Linked DNA regions of Kluyveromyces lactis. The main gene of each other region encodes a partner of the protein of the gene in region 2 in a complex. Links are inferred from orthologs where the notes say so. Each region holds a gene or a part of one and is shown on either strand. Other genes may lie near its edges. The genes, in order: SNF11, SWI3 and SWP82.

Region 1 (5,892 bases), on a different chromosome or scaffold from region 2:
AACATTATCTTATTTAGTATCGTTTATATATACTTTTCTGTTAGAATACAGCAGTTACCAGGTATATCAGCTCAGATAACTACTACATGTAAAAGTTGCATCTGAGAGTTGAAATCCACCTTGATCTTCTTATTTTACTGCCGGATGATGGTTTGATTTTTCCTGTTTCCTTTTCATGCAAGTAAGGACCTGTTCAAGTCTCATACTCTTCCTTCACCAATTCTCTAACCATATTACACCAAACTTTGCCATTGCTTGAGATGACGTCTTTATTGTCACCAACAGATCTGAACCCGATTCTTTCATAAAATGGTACCAGCTCGTTATGGGCAATGATAACAATTCTGTCTCCGATTTCTTGGTTAGACATCTTTTGGATGTAATCTGTCAATAGTAGAGTAGCTAGGTTCTTCTTCTGATGTTGTGGAGCAATGACGACAGAATGCACTCCAATGACAGGAGAAGAATCGTCTTGTGTGAAACTCATGCTTTCGTTGGTAATAAAAGTTAATTCCTTGGTACCGTTTTTTGGGATGGGGATCTTGGTACCAAAGATATGGCCAATCAACTTTTCTCCCAAAATCTCAGTGCCTTTAACGTCTCTAATGAAAAGACCCGAGCTCAATTCGGGGCACATCTTCAATCTGAATTCGATCTTCTCCTTTCCAGCCCTTTCTTCAGGTGGGAAGCCTTGTGCCTCTAGCTCTACTGATGCTTGGCAATCTTCTATCGTTAATGGTCTAATATAAACATGCAGTGGCAATGACGATGACATAGTGAAAATTCTTTTCTGATTTTATAATACTTAATAATGATTTCCTAATGTTGTTTCTTCAATTCTAGCCACAATAATACAATTATTTGCTCCTTATTCTAGTTTGCTTCTAAAATCAATCGAACCTTATTATCAACAATGGTATTCAACTCCTAGACCAATTGATTTTATCAACTAGTGTTAGACAGATATGATGTCTTTGTGAACTGCTCAATAACGGAAGTGATAGTCTTGTGAGATGTGTGTCTATATGTATTTGTTATCCTTATCCTTATCATCATATGTAAAACCTTAGTATATATGATTGATATTGCAATTGAATTGTTATTTTGATATTGTACAAAGGAGAAACAACAGTTGCGGCAAGAATATAGAAATTACGCACCACTTGGTAGGAATTTGTGAGTGATAACCAAATCTAAAGTTGACAGAACCTGTAAATACCGGACTGGCAAGTTGAATGGTCACCAGAGGCTTAATCTTGGACCAGAACGCCAATCATCACAGCTGGTGAACAGTGTCTCAGGGACACCTGATGTTCGTGTTTAGTGAGATGTCATGTGACCCGTACCGTCCGTTCCTAGCGAAATTGCATGTTGTTTAAGCCTTTGTAGCCAACAGCACCATCAAGTCGATGCCAATAGATACAACATTCTTGGCCTACCTTGTAGCAGCTTTTAAGGCTTTTTATGGGCTCATTTCTTTACTTTATTGCCTTCTTTCGGCCAACTACGCTTACTTTCACCATACAATCACATATTGAGAGAGCTTTGAAAGTTTCAAGAAATAAGTACCTTTGATCAAAGAGATAAAGCTGTGAGCTGACGACAACTACTGTCTATTAGTATCATTAGACTATTAAAACCTCCTGCTCTACTACTGCATCAACACATATTTATAAAACGACGGGATATGAGTAGTGTTTCAGAGATTTTGCCCCTAGAGGTCATTGACAAAACAATAGGACAGGAAGTGACCATTCTACTTAAAGATTACAGAGAATTCTTTGGTACGCTAGTAGGGTTCGATGATTACGTTAATGTTGTCATTGAAAATGCGGTAGAGTATTTGGAAGACCAGGAGATTAAAAGATTCCAGGGAAAGATGTTATTGACTGGTAACAACATTGCTATGTTGATACCTGGTGGAAAACCTGCTTCAAATTAAACAATGGAACTGCATATTGATGTTCAAAACGAAATCTGTAACATGCATGCTGTTTTTTTCTCTCTCAGATGTTTGGTATTGATATATTGACTAACATCCTTTGTAAGTATATATTATATATTTTATATGTAAAATAATTATCATATTGAAGTGCAGCTTATACAAAAAATGAATCAATGCAAACGTACGAGACGTTTGATATACCGTATCCGAAGGTTTGTTGATTTTTGTTGTTCAACTATATCATGCCAAGGGATCGAAAAACCATTCGATCTTAGTGTTTTCAAAAACTCTCATACCCATAGTTTTTGACTCTTTCATTTTGTCCAAGGTAGGATCAGCCCTGGTTATTAGCCAAGGCTTGATAACTTTTGGTTGCAAGACGTATTTGTTGATCAAGATGTATGAGATTACAGCATAAACGGCACCGACGAATAAATCGTATCTGAAATGGTGATCCAAATATTGGGTTGACCACCATTGTAAGCATACGAAAATCGTACCCAAAAATTTTGGTAACAGACCTTTATGGAAAATGTAGAGCCATTTGGACTCTAGAATATGAACTGGCAAAACCTGCTGTTTGGCAAGGATTTTAGCAACAGCCAACGTATTTAGTTCTGAATCCGAGTCAGAAGTCGTTGCGCGTGCTTCCAAGTCGTCATCCCCACCGTTAGTTGTTTGTAAAGTTATGCTATTAATATGTGAAACGAGTTTACTTTCGACGCTGTCACTATCATCAGCAAAATCGTCATCCTCGAACTCGAAGGGAATAATGGATTTGTTAGGTTGGACCTTAACATTCGTATAACCTTGTTCTTCTTCATCTTGTTCTTCATCCATCTCATAGTCATCATCTTCATCCTTTTGAAGAATGACAGGAGCAGCATCCGTAGCGATCGATTCCGGCACAGATTTCGTTTGTGTAGACCTGAACAAAAGGAAGAAGAAGCATTGTACAGCCATAGCCGAATGTAGTGACGGCACGGCACCGAACACGATTGGCGAGAGATGGAACCCATTCGAATTGAGATGAGTTCCAAGATGCATGTCGACCCTAGTCAACCCAGCAGCGTAACCCGGTTGACTGTAGTTCAAATGAGCCGTATCATGGGCACCGTACATATGTATGAACCATGGTGGAGCCATTGGTAATAAAAAGTGAGTGAAGAGCCCAACGATATTTTGTAAACCTAATGCGAATGAGAAGCATTTCAACGTACCTGGGATGTGGAAAACGTACAAATACACACCAGTAAGAATGGGCCCAGTGAGATGCAGAATCACGTACATCACCCAAGCCAATAAGTCCTTGAACTTGGTGAAATTCGACGGATCCTGACTGGATAAAAGGTGATCGAAATTCAACATCACAAATGTAAAGAACAAGAATAGAAAGGGTAACACGTTTCTCATCCTGCTAGGTCGGAATTGAGATGAACCGATATAATTCAAAGGGTATTGTAGCAAGACGTCTGTCTCATCGAACAGGTTATGCCTCAATTTCTTGGTATAATAAACATAGTACCAGATGAACAATGGCACCACAGCAAATAAGATACCGATGATACTACTGCTCACGAGAGACACCACGAATTCCAACCTGGTATCAAGAGAATGCCAGTAATCACCAAAAATATACGCATCACAATAATAAGCGACGCTACCCCAAATGGGTGGTCGCCAATTGGTAGGTATGACACCTGCATTCTTGAACATAAACAACCATATAAAGATTGGTGAGAAATTCAAACAAAAATTCAAAGCCAGTGTGAAGACATTGCGTTGATTTACACCACCCAAATATACCCTTTTGATGAACCACGGGATCCAAAGTAAGCACTCCATGTCTTGGAGTAGGGAACTTTCAGCTGAAAACGAAAATCCACACACAGACAAACAAATAGAAAGCTTGTTAACTAAATACTATCAAAGGACGATGAGATAGAACCTTGAGAAACCTTAGAGAAACTTTTGATATGCAAAATGATTCGAAAAGAGAAATACCAGAAAAAAACCTGAAAAAAACCACAAGGCAAAGAGAATAAACAGCGGGTGGCTTAAGCCTGGATTCCTCTTAATACCTTGCCACTACTTAAGTTATCGACTAGATGAAGTATCAAACATCACAAGATTAACAAGATTTACTAGTTGGCATTAACGTCTATCAACAAAATGGATGGACATATTTGTATATATATTTAATACTTTATTTTGCAGAGAGTTACGTATTTTAAGATGGCTGCGGATTTAGTAAAGCAATTCGAAAAGAAAAGAACTAATATGGCAAGGAACAGTTTCGGTAATAAAGAGTTTCCAGTTGAAAGGTAACCGTTTTATGGTGGATTTTCTGATCGGACGTACTGCCAGCAGGGCCGAAAAGAAATGGGTGAGGTTCCTACGCTGGGAACTGGTCCGTCTTGTGACTTAAACCCACGAAAATATGCGGTAACTTGACTGAGAGAAACTGAGAGATGGTACGTTTTTCGTCTGGCTATGGAATTAGGTAGGAATTCAGTTTATGCGTCCTTCGTTGTGGCCTAAGGCTAAGAATTTGTTGGCTGAGCTTTTTCTATTGTAACTGAAAACATTGTTTGGGATTTCATAATGTGGGGGAATAATGTGAATCGATAGTTATAGTTATGTAATGGTGGCATTTTGAGGCGTTGAAGGGGTGGCAGTAAGGGAGGAAGAGCATTCGTCATCAAAGTGGCTGAGAAACTCTTGCTGTTTCTTTTTTATCAGTCACGTGTTACACACGTGACTGAATGTGTTTTAAACTTAGAAACTTATGTCCTATGAATAGGTGACCGTATAGAGCACGAGTGTCTAGTGTACATAGATATGGCAGCCCAGGGATTTTTGTGATCTTGGAGTGCCTTTAGTCGCTATTATGAACTGGATACTTAGTGGTTTTTTCGTTCCGCTTGAAAATAATTCAAATCACGTTTTAATTCGTCTTACTACTTTGACAGTGAAGGAAGTTCAAAGATAAAAAGATCGACTGACTGACGACTACGGAAAAGTACCCTGCACCCACCCTAGATCAGCATGACAGATCTAAACCCAGCAATAGACCTGAAATCAGACTCAGGAGTCTCACCAAAGCAGAAGCTACAATGGAAAATACAAGTGCTTCTTCATATCAACTCGATGTTGATCAAAAAATCCCAAGAAACAAGAACCATGTACGAAAGCAGACAGGTACCGACACTCGCGTCGCTGTCCAAAGAACAAATGGAACAAATACTAATCCAATATACGAAAAGAATACACTGTAACTTACATACAATATCTCAGATAAATCAAGGAAATCTAGCAGCAAAACCTCCTATCATGGACCCTCCTCCAAACCCATTTCTTTCAAACACTGCTTCAGCTCAGGAAAGACAACAGGATATGCTGGTCAAGATGTATCTATTAATGAATAGAATGTTCCAATTATGGTAGCTTCAACGAACACTGTGCGTACATTGTGTGTACACTGTGTGTACATACATAATATATAGATAAAACGCTCTCATTTTAACGCTCTCTGTAGTTACCTATAATAATACTTGCTCCATTCCGGTATCAGCACCGTATGCAGCAATGCAGCAATGAAGCATAGAACGATTGCGGTCCTTGATAGGCTTCCACAGACATCACCAGATGTTTATCTGTCTTCGATATTCCCTTTAATTCTCAAGTTTCCTGAATTTTTTTTCCGTCCGTGCCATCATGATATGACAATGGCAATTGCCATTGCCATTGCCATTATCAAATCCTCTCATATGGACAAATAAATATAAATATATACAAGTATGTCAATTACGTTAAACGTACTAGTGCTTCGTGAGTATATTTAGATTAGCACTGATTCTAATTGGTATTCTCATCGTTATAATATTAGATAGAAGATCAATCGATTGGACTGGGGGAATAGTTCCATTGTATGAGTGTTTAAATTT
Region 2 (7,791 bases):
GTATCAAATCCAAGATCAAAAAGCGAAGTAGAGTAAACATAGAAACCGGGAGGATGAGGCTATGCCACACAGTGGTTATTAAACTTCGACGTACCGTGTATCTTGAGAATTTTACAGAGTATTACTACAGAAAGGTACTGATGAGCGATGACGCGACGATAAGAATTTAAAAGAAAAATAGAAAAAAAAACTCTATATAGAACAGATTATAGCGAAGGCAACGAACCAACAATGTATCAAAAGAAAGGATCAGTTACGGAAGCAATCAGTATGTTTGATCTGAAAAAGGAAAAAATCATTCCCAGCAATGAATGAATAATGCTTTAATCATTCGAACATTAAAAGAAACTGCAGAAAATAAAACACGCCGCTATCCCAAAAATTAAGCTATGGCTCAGCCCGTCTCTAGTTCTAGCGTACAAATCACTTTTTCGTACGAGAGAGACACCGAAGAGTATATACTGGATCCAAGTTATTGTATATCGGCAAAAGAGGTGTGCTTTTCCCACAGAACAGAACGCTATTAGATTGTGAAACACTGCGAAAGAACTTTAACTGGGCTTAGTTGTGGCAGGACTTCAAAGCGCTCTTTACTAAGTAGAATGCGAAAAAATCGAATAGCAACAACTGTCAGAAACAGACATAGAAAATGAGTTTTGCTCGAGAGTGATTTTTTTTCGCCTGTCGAGGAAACCAGTTACGTCGTCTTCTACACTATATCAAAACGACATTGTGGCACTTTTGTGTAACCAGTGGCAACGAGATCCGAGAACATAGTGCGATGTATGGGTGTCACGGAACAATTAACAGGAAAATTCTTTTCAAAATTAAAGTTCCGTCATTCAAATGCGGAACAGCTTTTGTGCTGTAATCTCTGTGAGAGATCTTTTTCAGAAAAAGCTCGCACCAAGTTATTCCTATTGGACCCTTGAAATCGGAAAAAAAGTTAAATCTGAGAAACAGGCAAAAACAGAGAAAAGCAAACTGAAGGTCAGGTGACCTAATTTCCACTAATGCGCATTCTTTCTGGTCACAAGCTACCCTGAACAAATGACGTTTCTTTCGCTCGTATTATATGCATTTGATATCAATTGACTATTTAATATACACCGTTATCTGGCGAGTATCGCTATGCTTTCACCACAAGCTGTTAAGTCGTTGTAGGTATAACAACATTGTTATATTTGGAATTATCACATTATGGAATATCAATAGCGGATGCTTGTGGGGATCATATATTCTTCATCTCGAATTTAATATGATAATTTCTTCTGTACTCAATATCTATCCCGAGTAAGTCGTTGTTGGATACGCCATTCTCCTCCATCAAGCCATTATTCACGACTATTGAATCCATACATGTGTCAATTGCCCTTGATCAGTGCCAATGAATGTGATGTCTTCTACAAATGTACAAACGATGATTGATAGGGTTTGGTCCACACGATTGTATTTAGAATTTCTTCAGATCTGATAATAGCCACGCGGTTATTATATCTAGTTGTGTTAAACTCAACACTGTAGTTAATGCATATTAGTGAATTTTATTGGCCTCCAACCCTTTTTTGTAGGTTAATCATCGTGTTGGTCTTCGCATTCTTTACGGTAATGAAGATTAACATCATGTTAAGACCTTTCTTTGGTTCTACCTCTTTGATGTCAAGTAAAGTCTGATTCCATGTTTCTCTTCTGCACAGTTAGAATATTACAGACCAGTAAGCTTCTCTGAATTGTTTACGTTCAGTGTGGTTATCATTCCTTGAGAGTGCCTGTTGATAGCTTAGTGATCTATCTATTTTGGTCTGTGCTATCCGTGGTACACTTTGTAACGCCTGGATTGAGGAAATGTAGAAACGTCCTTTTTGTTTCATACGGTCAAAATTGGAGTCCGGACTCTCTTTAATCATTAAATTGACTATTATATGAAAATCCATTTGTGGATCAGGTTCATCCGTTATAAAGTAGTCTTTATCTGATACTTGAACCACTTATATCCTATCCTCCACTCCTCCTACCAAGAATCAGTAGTTGTCGGTTGTAAGATTGTTTGGATGACCATTGTAGTTTTTGGGATTTTTCTAGTCCCAGAATTTATTCCGTTGTTTGAAGGATTTATTCCTGTCATCGATTCTCCTATCAGTGTTTTCGAGTGTTCTCTTTTGTTTAGTCATTTTGCTAAACCTCAATTCCTTCTTTAATTCTAGGATTATCTCAGTGGTTTGATTTGTAGGTGGTTTGCTGATGGGATGTATGCTATCAAAACCATGGTAAATCATAATATGTCTGTACACTTTGTCGGCCAGGATAGTATCCAAGTGAGGTAAATTGCATTTTTTGAAAGCTTCAACTAAGTCTGTTAAAGTTTTTATTAAACCCTTCACCTTGTAACGAGGATTTACTTCGAAGAATTTGACTCTATGCTCCAGTAAATAAGGATTGTATTTCTTATGGATATAGTCCATAGCAATGGTGGGAATGTCGGCATAATCCTCACGGAATTTCTCTCGATGAGCTTCCAACCATTCTGGGTTTTCTGGTAGAGATACTACTCTTTCATATACGTCTTGCCACCATGCGACTTGATCTGAATTGATACCGTCGAATAGAGTTGTATTTGAGAAGTCAAACTTATCTTCATACCCACAATAAGTGAAGTATTTATAAATATCAAACAACCATTTTTCTAAGAAGTCTTTTGTTTTGACCTCTCTGATATGAACATCATATTTTGCCTTTTCACACGGGAAAGGACTAAAGATGTTATCTTTTAGGTACCGTGTAATACTCGAACTATATTCATCTGTTACTTCCTTGATTGAGTAATTGTTGAACAGCTTTTTGTTGTTTGAACCTGTGGCGCTACCATATTGAGTCCCGGAAGCTCTCTGTTCAGTGTTACCCTGACATGATGATATTCCTTCGCTCATATTATCTGTATCTGACATCAATTGACTATTTATTATACACCGTTGTGTGGTCTGTATTCCTCCCTCTCCCCACCATCATCTTTCCATTATATAATGCCTAATCATCCTATGAGTTGGCATAAGATTGATTCTTCTCTTCTATTTGTACTTCTCTATCTCGTATATGATAAAAGAGTTGTCACGTAATAGTTCTTTCTATCTCGTATACTTTCGTATAGATGGATCTTAACACTTAACATATCACGTGCACAAAGGTATCATCTATTACCCGGACACAAATGGTCTTCCTTAGGAAAGATGTTTCGTCCTGTTTTAACAATGTTAAAATAAACAATTTCAAGTAAACAGACATTAAGTCAGGTTTGGGCCAGTTCAATCTAAAGCATCGATCAATTTTCGCGTCATTGCTACTACTTTTCAGCTTGTCATCACTCATCAGTTATTCTGACTCCACTTCTTTGTTGACAAGTGAAGGAAAGCAATTCGCCTGAGGAAGATTATAGTTTATACACGGATTTTTTAATGGCAGATGACGAACAACGGGACTCTGTTCTTGAGTCTGCACAAACTCAGAGCTCAGTAGAGAATACCCAAAACACGTCAGAACAACCTGGTTTGATAGACCATACCGAGGATGTAGATATGGGAGGAATTGATGATAACTTGGACATGGACGTTGAACCTAATCTACCTGATGATTTTGGTAACGAATTCTCAGAATCTTTGCCGCAAGACTTCCCTGAAGAGTTCGGCGATGCACCATTGGCCGAAAACCTCCCTGAAGGAATAAACGATAAGCTTTTATCGAATCTGGATAATGAGAACGGTGACGCGGACGATGCAGATCTATTTGAGGAAGAACCCGAGGAACAAAACCCTGCTAATGAAGCATCCGAATCTGATTTGTTGAAATCCCCATCTAAAGAAGACGATACTACCGCAGCAGGTAATGAGGAACAAGAACAAGAACAAGAACAAGAACAGGACGAACAAATGGATAAAGAGAATGACGAAATCGCGTTGCCAGAAACTAAAAAGGAAAGCGATTCGAACGGCGAGGGGAACAATGACCCTGTTGGAAATATAGAAACTGAACAGAGCGAGGTAGAACCTGCACAGAACGAACTGGAAACTGCCAATGACAAACAAGAGCCAGCACCAGAACCAGAATCATTTACTGAAAACCCCAAATTACCAGACGTGAAGGACTTAGGGCAGCCCGATTCTGGTATAGATGCTCCAGTACATACTACAACAGAGACAACAGTTGATGAAGAAATTGATAAAGAGCACAATACTGAAGCAGAAGCAGAACCTGAAGTAGATAGTATTCTTGAACAAGAATCGAGATCAGCTTCTCCTGAATCAAATATAACCGTAAAGCAAGAAAGTAATACTGCTGATCCAAAATTATTTGTACCGCAATCCCATGAAATTGTAATCCCTTCATACTCGAAGTGGTTTAATTTGACCAAAGTTCATGAAATCGAAGTGAAATCTTTACCGGAATTCTTCACTAATAGAATACCTTCAAAGACACCCCAGATGTACGTCAAATATCGTAACTTCATGGTAAACTCTTATAGACTAAATCCAAATGAATACTTCACAGTCACTGCAGCTAGAAGAAACCTTTGTGGAGACGCGGGCGCCCTCTTCAGACTACATAAATTCTTAACCAAATGGGGATTGATCAACTATCAAGTAAATGCTACCAAGAAACCTAAAATGGTTGAACCCCCATTCACTGGTGAATATGAGACGAGATACGATGCTCCGCGTGGATTATTCCCATTCCAATCTTATAAGCCGGCCCTACAACTTCCTGATATGACCCGCTTAAAAAAGATAATGACTCAGTTAGACACCAAACCCTCGGAACCATCATCTTTGAAAAGGACTAGTGATGAAATCTCCAGTGAGCACACTCAAGATTTGTCAAACGGGGGATCCAGTCACGTTAATGGTATCACTAACAAAACGGCTTCGGGTTCTGTGGGACCAGAGAACTACGGCCTGAAGGATGAAAAGGAGTCTCCAGTGAATGCCGACCTTGAGAGAAACGATCGCAAACCCAAAAGACCAAAGATTTCTCAACTGATTGACAAAGATTGGACCCAAGAAGAAATCTATAAACTTATCGAACTTATTAAAGAGCATGGCACCGATTGGTTTAACATTGCCAAAACTCTAGGAACAAAGACTCCGGAGCAATGTATTTTAAGGTTTTTACAATTGCCTATTGAAGATGCATTTTTGATGGATGAAAAAGATCTCGGACTCTTGAAGTTTGGTTCTCATATTCCTTTCAATAAATCTGACAACCCCGTAATGAGTACGTTGGCATTTTTAATAGGGTTAGTCGATCCTAACATTGTTCAGCATTTGACTAAAAGGGCCATTTCTCTTCATGACATTAATGTTAATACGGGTGCTAACACGGAAGCAAAAGACGCAGAAGAAAGGCAGGAAGAACAAAAAGAAGAACAAACAGAGGAATCAAAAGAAGAACAAAAAGAAGAAATAAAAACTGACGCCAGGGAAATTGAGCATACAGAAACGGGAGCTGAAAAATCTGAACCTGCAAATTCAAATGCCGCAGATCACTCCACAGCAACTGAAGGAACTGCTCCAGCAGCAGAACAAGTAGCAAATTCAGATGTAACTGTTGACACTTCAAATGAGAAAAATGCAAATACACCAGAGAATGAAGAAAAAGAAGCAACAGAAGTAAGAGCTGAAAAAACAGGAGAAGAAGGGCTACAAAAAGCGGAAGAAAAGAATAAAGAGGAAGGTAGTCAAGAAGAAGCGATTCCAGTGGAAGAACCTCATCAAGAAGAATCTTTAGAGAATGAAGCATTATCAAACAAGGAAACACCATCGGAAAAACAAGAGCTGCCAGAAGAACAAGCAGTAACGGTCACAAATGCTGAATCTGATGCTAGAATAACAGTGAAGGACGGCACAGAAGTCGCTCTAGCTACCTTGGGGCTACGCTCTCATGTATTCGCTACCAACCAAGAAAAATTGATGAATAGGACGACAAATGATTTAATCAATACTCAACTAACAAAAGTCGATTTGAAGTTGAAGGCTCTTGATACCATGGAAAAATCCTTGGAACTAGAGCGCAAGGCTGTGCATAGGAAGCAAGAAGATGTTTTCATTCAAAGGCTAAGCTTCACCAAGTATGCCAACTCTCTTATGGGAAAATTTGAATCTTTACTGAAGCAAATTCCGGAATCTCCAGAAATCAAACAGCAATTACACGAATTACGTACCATAATTGCTGATCCACCAAAGACAAGTATCACATCCCAATCGGGTAATCTACAAGATTCTGATGATCTAGACTCCGCCAACAAACCAATATCGATTGAGTCACCGCAGTTATATCGTTATTGGTCAGGTTAATAATATAGACAATATTCATGTATTATATAGCCTCGTAACATTATATTAATTTAAACTATTGAAACAACACAAAAAGTCAAGCCTCTCCTTGTCCAAATGCAACATCTTCGTTGGAGTAAATCCTACTTGTTTTTTCCTTTGTACCTTGTCTTCAGGAATTATGTCCGTATGCTATATTGTCTTTAAAATATGAAAATATTGGAAACCTTCAAAAAAAATAGCTTTAACTAAACACGAATACGATATTTAATATTCCCAATATCAGAACAATTGAATGATACTGGTATTCGTTGTAAAGGTCGGATTTGCATTATTAAGGACCCAGTAACAAGTTCTGCGATGAATTTGTCTACATATGAGCATGCGTTGTCATTGTGGAAAGAAGCTGGCTTCAGCAGTATACAATCGTTACTTGATGATAGCATAGCTAAGATAAAGGATTTAGAAACTTCATCCTTGGAATCAAGAAAAACGTTAGCCAGTGAGACCAAGAAGTACAAGAAATTGCCAGATGATGAGAAACCTAGCCAATCTTTGAAATTAGTGAAAGAATACCAGAAGGAGATTGATTCGTTGACTACCAGATCAACGTTCTCCGAAAAGGTTGTTATCGAATTATATGAGAAGTTAATTGAACAACCGGACCCAACAGGGATCCTAGAGTCTATTGTAGAGGAACTGAAGAAAGATGGCACAAATGTCGATGATATCAAAGCTGAAAACCAAAAATTGGCGGCAATTGTTAGCAAGTGTGCCGATTATGACACTTTAAAGAAAAGATTATCGGATCTTGAACAAAATTCGGCTAAGACATTATCCAATAGATTAATCGCCAAAGAGAAAGAAATTACATCCAAATGGGAAGAAAAGCAACGTAATTGGAATAATAGAGAGGACGAATTATTGAAACAGTTAGAAACGTTGAAAAATACCAATAGCATCTTGGAAAAGAAAATAGGTGCTCAGGTCGATTTGGAGCAACAAGAAGATGGCGATGATGACACCGTTCTCGTTAGTGGAAAGAATAGCGCTCAAAGTGAGCTTCTGGTACAAGAACTTGAGGCTGCACAAATTCGTATCATGAGTCTTGAATCACGTAATGAAGAATTAAATTCTGAGGTAACCAAATTGAAGAGCGATGAACAACAGGATTCCATATTTCAAGAGAAAGAGACTAAATTGAACCAATTGGAAAGTGAAAATGCTAAATTGGTTACATGTTTAGAAGAAGAACGCAAGAGTTTGAAGGAAACATCCCAAACGTTGAGCTCACAATTGAAATCATCTGCACTTGAAACGCAGACTTATAAATCGGAATTAGAGACATTGAGACGCAAGTTAACGAACTACTCAGATTATGAAAAAATAAAGCAAGAATTGAATGCCATGAAGAAGATTGAATTCGGAACCAGTGATGACAGTGACAACGAAAACGATGATGGTGATGACT
Region 3 (7,168 bases), on a different chromosome or scaffold from region 2:
CTTTTAAAATCCTCGAGTAGTCTACATTTGTTCAAATAGGTCTGCTCCAGTTTCTCAACAAACCCTTTTGACTTAAGGAATGATCTCGCATTTGTTTTCAATATCTTTTCTGAATATTGTACTCGTTGTTTATGTTCTTGTCTCCACTTTGTAAAGGGACCCAAAACGGTCATCTCAATGGTAGAGGCGATCTTCAAATGATGGTTACCTTCCTCCACCATTTGCCCAATCATACCCGCTAGTGACGAGTTACATGTAGAGTCTAATGCATCGAACTCATCAACACCTTTGTTGATATTGCACAAGTGTCTTCCAAACTCAACTTCATACTGCATTCTTGAAGCGAAAAGCTGGATAAAAAGGTCATTTTGATCACAACCTTTATGCAACTTCCCAAAGAGCGCTTCAATCCCACTTATAAAATCCGGAGACCAAAAGCTCTCCGCAAATGATGGCATTGGTATCGGTCGAGGTTGCTGGATGGACCTTTCATCTTCTTTTACTATGTTGTCATCTACGTTTTTAAAGGTTTCATAAGTCTTGAATTTAACGGTTTAAAATTAGATTATCGATTCCTCAAACTGGAACTGTTAAATTTGGAGAATGTAAATACATACACTCATACATAGCACCAAAATTTGAAGTAACATCATATGTTGAGGCAATTTCATTGACAGATAGTTGGTGAATAACTCAAGGTATCTATTTTATTACTTTTCAAACAGATGCCATTCCCCAAAGTTTCAATTGTATTCTGCACTAAATGTAAATGGAATCTCCGGAGTGCATGGTACGTCCAAGAACTTCTACAAACGTTTGGATCTGAATTGAAAGAGATTTCATTGATTCCAGGCGAACCAGGCGAATTCAAAGTTCTTGGATACCAAACGGAAGGTTCTCAACCGATAGTAATTTGGGACAGAGTCGTGGACGATGGATTTCCTGACAGTAAATATTTAAAACAACGGGTAAAGGCTCTTATTTTCAATGATGAAGTGGCCATAGGGGCCCATATCGACAGGAAATCAAAATCTTCCTCGGCTAAAGAAACTCTAGTATCGGAAAAGATCAATCAATGCTCCACAGATGATCAAAATACGTCATGCAAAGATTGTGAGACATAAATAAATGTTACAAGAACTGAAAATCTACCTTTATAACGAATAACTGTAATTCATAACTATATAAATAACTAATACAGGATCACAAGTACATTTTTAGGCGGCTTGAAACGTTGCAGTGGTAAGCTCATGTAATTCTTTGTGTTAATACTAAGTCTTGTCATATTCCTTTTCTTGATATGAAACCCGAATTTTGAATCGAATCAATTATGGAAGAAAATAAGTTTATTGACGTTCTTTTAACAAACGAGAAGGAACCTACAACCCTTGTTGAACAAGTATTGTGAATTGGATATTGCTCTTGTTATTCTATTGTAGAGTGAATTCAATCTTAATAGTGTAGGGCAGCACACATCGTTTGAAACAAAAGATGTTTGTCCACTGGTTGGCTGTATTGTTCGCATACATTACCGTTGCAAATGCAGCTGCAATTGCAGAAGCGGAATTACATGAAAGTGCCGTGTCTGATAACGATATACTAGATGCCAGTCATTCTTTACCTGATTTGGTTCACATGAATGCCGTGCCTTCAGATTGGAAGACCAGCGGAGGTTTGGTTTTGGAGGAAGGGAGACTTCGTTTAACACCAAGTGCATCCAGTCAAAGTTCGATTTGGCACAAGACTGATTATCAAATTAAGGACTCCTTCACCATAGAATGGACTTTCAGAAGTGTTGATTTTATAGGGAAATCTGAAGGTGGGTTGTCCTTCTGGTTAGTGGAGGGTAAAAGTGCAGGAGGAACTTCTTTATTCGGTGGACCAGAGGCGTTTGATGGGCTTCAAATTTTGGTGGATTCCAATGGGCCCGTGGGTAGTTCTGTTCGTGGTATCTTGAACGACGGGTCTAAGAAATTGACTGAAAAAAATGTGTACGATCATTCTTTTGCCTATTGTTTGTTAGCCTATCAGGATACTACTATTCCAACCACTATCAGATTGAGTTATGATAGGAAGAACAATAACCTATTGAAACTTCAAGTCGATAATAGGGTGTGTTTCCAAACCAGACAAATTCAATTCCCACAAAATGCGAAAATGAAGATGGGTATCACTGCAAAGAATGATGCTAACAAGGAATCATTTGAAGTCCTGAAGGTACATACTCATAACGGTCTTACTAAAGAAGTTACAATTCCAAATGTTAACCCTATGGAACAGCCTAGATTGGTAACAAAGATTATCAACAAGGATACTGGTAAAGAAGACGTTGTAGAAACAGATTTCATGAAAATGAAGGGTTTAGCAAATAAGGTGGACAACTACGAACTTTACAAGAAATTGGATAAGATTGAGGGCAAGATATTAGCCAATGACATCAGCGTGATAAACGGTAAATTAATTGGCATCTTGGAAAATCAAGCAGCGCACTTGAGAAAGCTAGAATATCTATCAACTACTTTAGAAGTTATTGTGGCTTCAATGGGTAAAGAAGGTGAAGTAAATACAGAATCCTTCAAGGACCTCTTTGTTATGAATGATAAGTTGGAGCAATTACTTCAGGATCAAGCAAAGATTAGAGAGGCCACCAAACAAAGCATGGAAAATGCTGGAAATGGCGTTTCAGTTGACGAAATCGTCAAGAGACTCTTAATGTGGATTTTGCCTCTAATACTAATCGTTTTAGTTATGGCATACTACACTTTCAAAATTCGTCAAGACATTGTTAAAGTTAAATTGTTATAATGAATTATCCTCTATATATATCTGCAGCTTTATTGCATAGCTTTCTACTAGCAGTATTTAGTTCGATATAGATGAAGTTGCATTATTATTCTAAGGTTTTTCAACATAAGGTGGCCTAAACCCTGACACATTGGAGTATCCCAAAAAATTTGGATTCGGTACTCGCTTAACGGTACGCTTTTCATCTACATTCTTCGTTTCGTTTGGCACAATGCTCACATCAACATGGTTCAAAACTTGCTGTAGATATTGCTCTTTGTAATACGAAAGTTGATCCTCCGTAAGGCCAACAGGTGCACCGGCCTTATACTGCCAAAATTTAGTCCAACGGGTGTTTCTTAACTTTCGGACATGGCCAAGAGCTGTATTCAAATGAACAACATCATGGGATCGTTCTAAATCTTTTATTTGGTTTGGCGTCAATAGTTTTAACCTTGCAGGAAGTCTCGCCTTATTATATATCGGTAACCCTCCAGCACTGAAAGTTGTAGGTAACTCATCATTTGTTGTAACTGGTAGCTGCGTAAATTTCCATCCAGGAATTTGAGCCAACACATCTGTCTCCTCCGGGGGAACATAGTTAGCTTTACGTCCTCTACCAAAGTTATGAGATTCTACCGGGTGGGTGTGCGTTCCAATCGGGGAATCTAGAACATTGTGTTGTTGAGCAGCGGCGAAGGAATTCTTATAGTGGTATTTTGGAATTTTGTAAATAGTACTCAACTCGATTGCTCCATGTATAGTTTGACCCGATATGATTGCAGTTTGCTCACCATGAGCAATATTACTTAAGAACTCTTTACGTGCTTCTAAAGGCGGTAGTTCCGTAATGGTTGAAAACGGGTCTTCGAATTGCGGTTGTGATGTGGACATAACGCCCGCTTGTGCTTGCTTCGATTCAGGAAGCTCAGGTGGACCTAAAGAATGTGCTGTTCTAGTCCTTGGATCGATCGAACATACCATGTCGAGAAGTTTTTGAGAGAGTGCGTATACTCTGTGCTGCGCTTGGAAGCCCTGTTCTTTGGATAGTTGTTCCCAGTAATCATCTATCACTCTTGATCCGGATGCTAGTATAGCAGCTCCAAAGACAAGAAAAGCAGATCTAGCTGTGATATATGTTGCAGCAGTAGCACCTTCAGGTAAAAGTTTATACTGGGTCAAAAATTCGATAATATCATGTTTTGCATTAATTGGGTAAAGGTCTGGATGCTGAGCCAAAAACTCTTGTTGTTCCACATCTAGATTCAAGACTCTAATCAAATCCCGTACTAAGACGTACAAATTTTCCGAATTATTGTTTTCCGCACATGGATAAGTGAAAGTAGGAAACAAGTAATGCCTTTCTCCATGTAACCGTCCTTGTTTATCAACCTTCGTTTCCCCATTTTGATCACCCTTTCCCAAAACATAAGAGTCATTGTTGTCTGATAACCTTTCCTTAATGGTGAACGAAGGTAGTACAAGTTGCTTTGTTGGTGGCTTGTCAAGTCTGCCGGAGAGTAATTCAGGGTTATTGAGTATTGATAATGTGGTTTTCAAAATAAAAAGCTCATGGTTCTTTATGACATATTCTGGCACCGGATTCACCTGAGCAGTGACAGATGAGTTAGTACTGGAGTCCATTTTTCCAGCATGTGAAGATAAACAAATAAACGTATCCTGTTCAACAGCCAGAAAGGTCTCGTGGTGTTCCAAATATAATTAGGATGGATGAAAGTGTCGCAGCTTATACCGTCTATTGAATTCTTTCACGATGTACTTTGAAAGATATGCATATGTTTACGTTTATGTTAATGACAGGCATTCGATAGTTAGATTACATGTTGAAAAGACCCAATTTCAAAACAATGGAAAATACATAAAGATACTGATCACGTGATGACCAGCAACTGACACAGCAAATACCCGACAGTTAGGTTACATACAAACTAACGTATCTAAAATATAGGAATAAAACGGGATTCTTAGATAATAGTGCCGGTGGCTTCAGATGTTGGTAGTGTCATTCATTGAGCCAACTTAAGATTTGCAAGAAGTTCTTCTGAGGCCTTGATATAATTCCTGGCGTAATCATCAGTAAAATCTTTTGATGGAAGGATCGGGTTAGCATTCTTGTCAAACATGGCGCCTGAATGAGTTTCCAATTCTGGGGCAACTAGCAAGGGGCCTAACTTTTCAGCGTATTGCTCTGCAGTCTGATTTGTCATACCTATGAACCATTCTACCACTCTTGACTTCCAAGTGTCTTTACCAAGGTAATTATCTCTAATATTTGTCCTGATGAGCCCCGGATTCAACCCATAAAAATTGACAGTAGCAAACCTATTCTTAAAGTCCAAAACTAGAGCTTCATTACCGGCTACTGTTTTCATATGTGTGGAAATAGCTCCGTAAGATTCTTCTGAATTCAAATCTCTATAATCTCCCATATAGTTATCACCGGGGAAACCCATTACAAATACGCGAGGTTTTTTCTCACCATGTTCCTTCAATCTGGGTACCAAATGATTCATCATCACTAGTCGGCTGATATAACTGACGGCCAAATCTTCTTCTAGACCTTCGCTAGTCTCACGTCTCGCTGGAGGAGCCAAAACTCCCGTAGTGAAGATAAGAAGATCCAACTTTTCAGCAGGTAACAATTCCGCAACTCTGGATGCCTCTGACACCAAACCTAGGTCAGCCTGGATAAATTCAATACCTTCAACATTTTCGTCTCTGAACGTTCTACCAACAACGATGACTTTAGCACCCTTTTGTGCCAACACTCTTGCCAACTCACGGCCAATACCGCCCGTTCCTCCTACGATAGCAACATATTTATTATCTAAATTGAGTTCAATCAATTTTTGAGCCTTCGTATATACAATATCAGGATTGGTCTTCATGGTTGTTTGATGTAAGATTAGTCCGATGCAATTACAATAGATAGTTCCCCCTTGACTCTTGGTAATATTACTGTGCAAGCTGCATATCTGCAATCAACGTTGCACTAAGCTACCTTAAATAGTATCTATATATGATTTCTTCGACTTATTAGTTACGGCGGTGATCTTTTATCGACAATATGTCTGACTAATGACATTGCGATTCGTCCTGAAGATTGTGAACTGGTTTGGCTGTCAACCATCACCCCTATGAGGGGCCGGCCCCTTGAAAAACCGCCTCCATCACGTGACTGAAAGATCTCATGTAAAACTATCTTGAACCACCAATCACCGCGTATTGCATTGGTCCTACGGAGAGTTTGCTTCAAAGTAATCTCGTTCAAACTTCGTTTCCCAGATGACTGTATTCATCAACATTTGACAACACTGCGCAGCGACTGAATGTCTTGCTTGGTTAACCTGGCTCTACAGTCAGCGACAATTCCATTTTCAACAGTATGCTCAGAAGGGTGCACACAAATTGCACTGAAACAAAGTAAAGTTAGAAACATAAATAAAAAATATAAATATCAAATATAAATACGGTAAAAAGAAGGGGCGATTAATTTTGCCGTTTATGCAATAACCTTGTTTTAAGGGTATCAATGTCTGAATAATGTCATCGATAATAGAAGTGTTGACATAACTATATTAAAGACAGGGTAGACGGTCAGATATATAGTAGTGTCAGTATTTTGAACGGAGAGGAACTTGATTAAATCTATTATACAGTTTCCCCCAAAATTTTTCTGAAATTGTGCCGCTAACTGTTCATTAAACGGTGCTTTCTTACAACAAAAAAATAAGCATGCATTTGAATTTCCAATCTCTTTTGCCTCTAGCTTCATTGTTATTGGCTTCTTTTGATGTTGCTGAAGCCAAGATTCATAAGGCCAAAATTCAAAAACATAAATTGGAAGACCAATTGAAGGATGTTCCATTTGCCGAACATGTGGCTCAACTAGGTGAAAAGTACTTAAATAGCTTCCAAAGAGCTTACCCTCAAGAATCTTTCTCTAAGGATAACGTTGATGTTTTCGTTGCCCCAGAAGGGTCTCACAGTGTCCCATTGACCAATTACTTGAATGCTCAGTATTTCACAGAAATTACTTTGGGTTCGCCACCACAGTCTTTTAAGGTTATCTTAGACACTGGTTCATCAAACTTGTGGGTTCCAAGTGCAGAATGTGGTTCTTTGGCATGTTTCTTGCACACCAAATATGACCATGAGGCTTCTAGCACTTACAAAGCTAATGGTTCCGAGTTTGCTATCCAATATGGTTCTGGTTCCCTTGAAGGATATGTGTCTCGTGATTTGTTGACCATTGGGGATTTAGTGATACCTGACCAGGATTTCGCTGAAGCTACCAGCGAACCAGGTTTGGCATTTGCCTTTGGTAAATTCGATGGTATTTTGGGGTTGGCTTACGACTCCA

The links.
Region 1: SWI3 (region 2) and SNF11 share a complex: the UniProt entries of both Saccharomyces cerevisiae proteins name them as parts of the SWI/SNF global transcription activator complex. The link is inferred for Kluyveromyces lactis from reciprocal best matches to the Saccharomyces cerevisiae genes SWI3 and SNF11.
Region 3: the proteins of SWI3 (region 2) and SWP82 are in contact, whole or in part, in a cryo-EM structure (PDB 7EGM), measured with the Saccharomyces cerevisiae proteins. The link is inferred for Kluyveromyces lactis from reciprocal best matches to the Saccharomyces cerevisiae genes SWI3 and SWP82. Residues at the interface, in NP_012359.1 of Saccharomyces cerevisiae: Ile299, Pro300, Gln301, His303, Arg345, Asn348, Phe349, Asn352, Ser353, Leu356, Asn357, Asn359, Glu360, Tyr361, Phe362, Ser363, Thr365, Thr366, Arg369, Asn370, Leu399, Pro401, Lys402, Ile404, Glu405, Pro406, Pro407, Arg415, His416, Asp417; in NP_116605.1 of Saccharomyces cerevisiae: Leu240, Arg241, Pro242, Ser243, Phe318, Val320, Tyr442, Gly445, Leu446, Pro447, Leu448, Tyr449, Glu450, Thr453, Glu456, Arg457, Glu468, His471, Leu472, His473, Asp474, Ala475, Val476, Val478, Asn479, Thr480, Leu482, Gln483, Arg486, Lys487.

Annotation. Positions count from the first base shown.
Region 1 is NC_006041.1:899,251-905,142, reverse strand, and holds SNF11 (Snf11p), read left to right. Parts: upstream 1-4,993; coding exon 4,994-5,392; downstream 5,393-5,892. Other genes in the region: PAA1 (polyamine acetyltransferase), read right to left, coding at 194-775; RNA-binding protein LSM5, read left to right, coding at 1,688-1,942; IPT1 (inositolphosphotransferase), read right to left, coding at 2,186-3,790. UniProt on the Saccharomyces cerevisiae protein: Involved in transcriptional activation. Component of the SWI/SNF complex, an ATP-dependent chromatin remodeling complex, which is required for the positive and negative regulation of gene expression of a large number of genes.
Region 2 is NC_006037.1:578,947-586,737, reverse strand, and holds SWI3 (Swi3p), read left to right. Parts: upstream 1-3,449; coding exon 3,450-6,341; downstream 6,342-7,791. Other genes in the region: KLLA0_A06446g (uncharacterized protein), read right to left, coding at 2,079-2,945; CCAAT displacement transcription factor COY1, read left to right, coding at 6,681-7,791. UniProt on the Saccharomyces cerevisiae protein: Involved in transcriptional activation. Component of the SWI/SNF complex, an ATP-dependent chromatin-remodeling complex, which is required for the positive and negative regulation of gene expression of a large number of genes.
Region 3 is NC_006040.1:501,015-508,182, forward strand, and holds SWP82 (Swp82p), read right to left. Parts: upstream 4,429-7,168; coding exon 2,896-4,428; downstream 1-2,895. Other genes in the region: GTPase-activating protein RGD2, read right to left, coding at 1-458; KLLA0_D05841g (SelT/SelW/SelH family protein), read left to right, coding at 726-1,124; KLLA0_D05863g (uncharacterized protein), read left to right, coding at 1,492-2,805; KLLA0_D05907g (putative short-chain dehydrogenase/reductase), read right to left, coding at 4,812-5,693; PEP4 (proteinase A), read left to right, coding at 6,541-7,168. UniProt on the Saccharomyces cerevisiae protein: Involved in transcriptional activation. Component of the SWI/SNF complex, an ATP-dependent chromatin remodeling complex, which is required for the positive and negative regulation of gene expression of a large number of genes.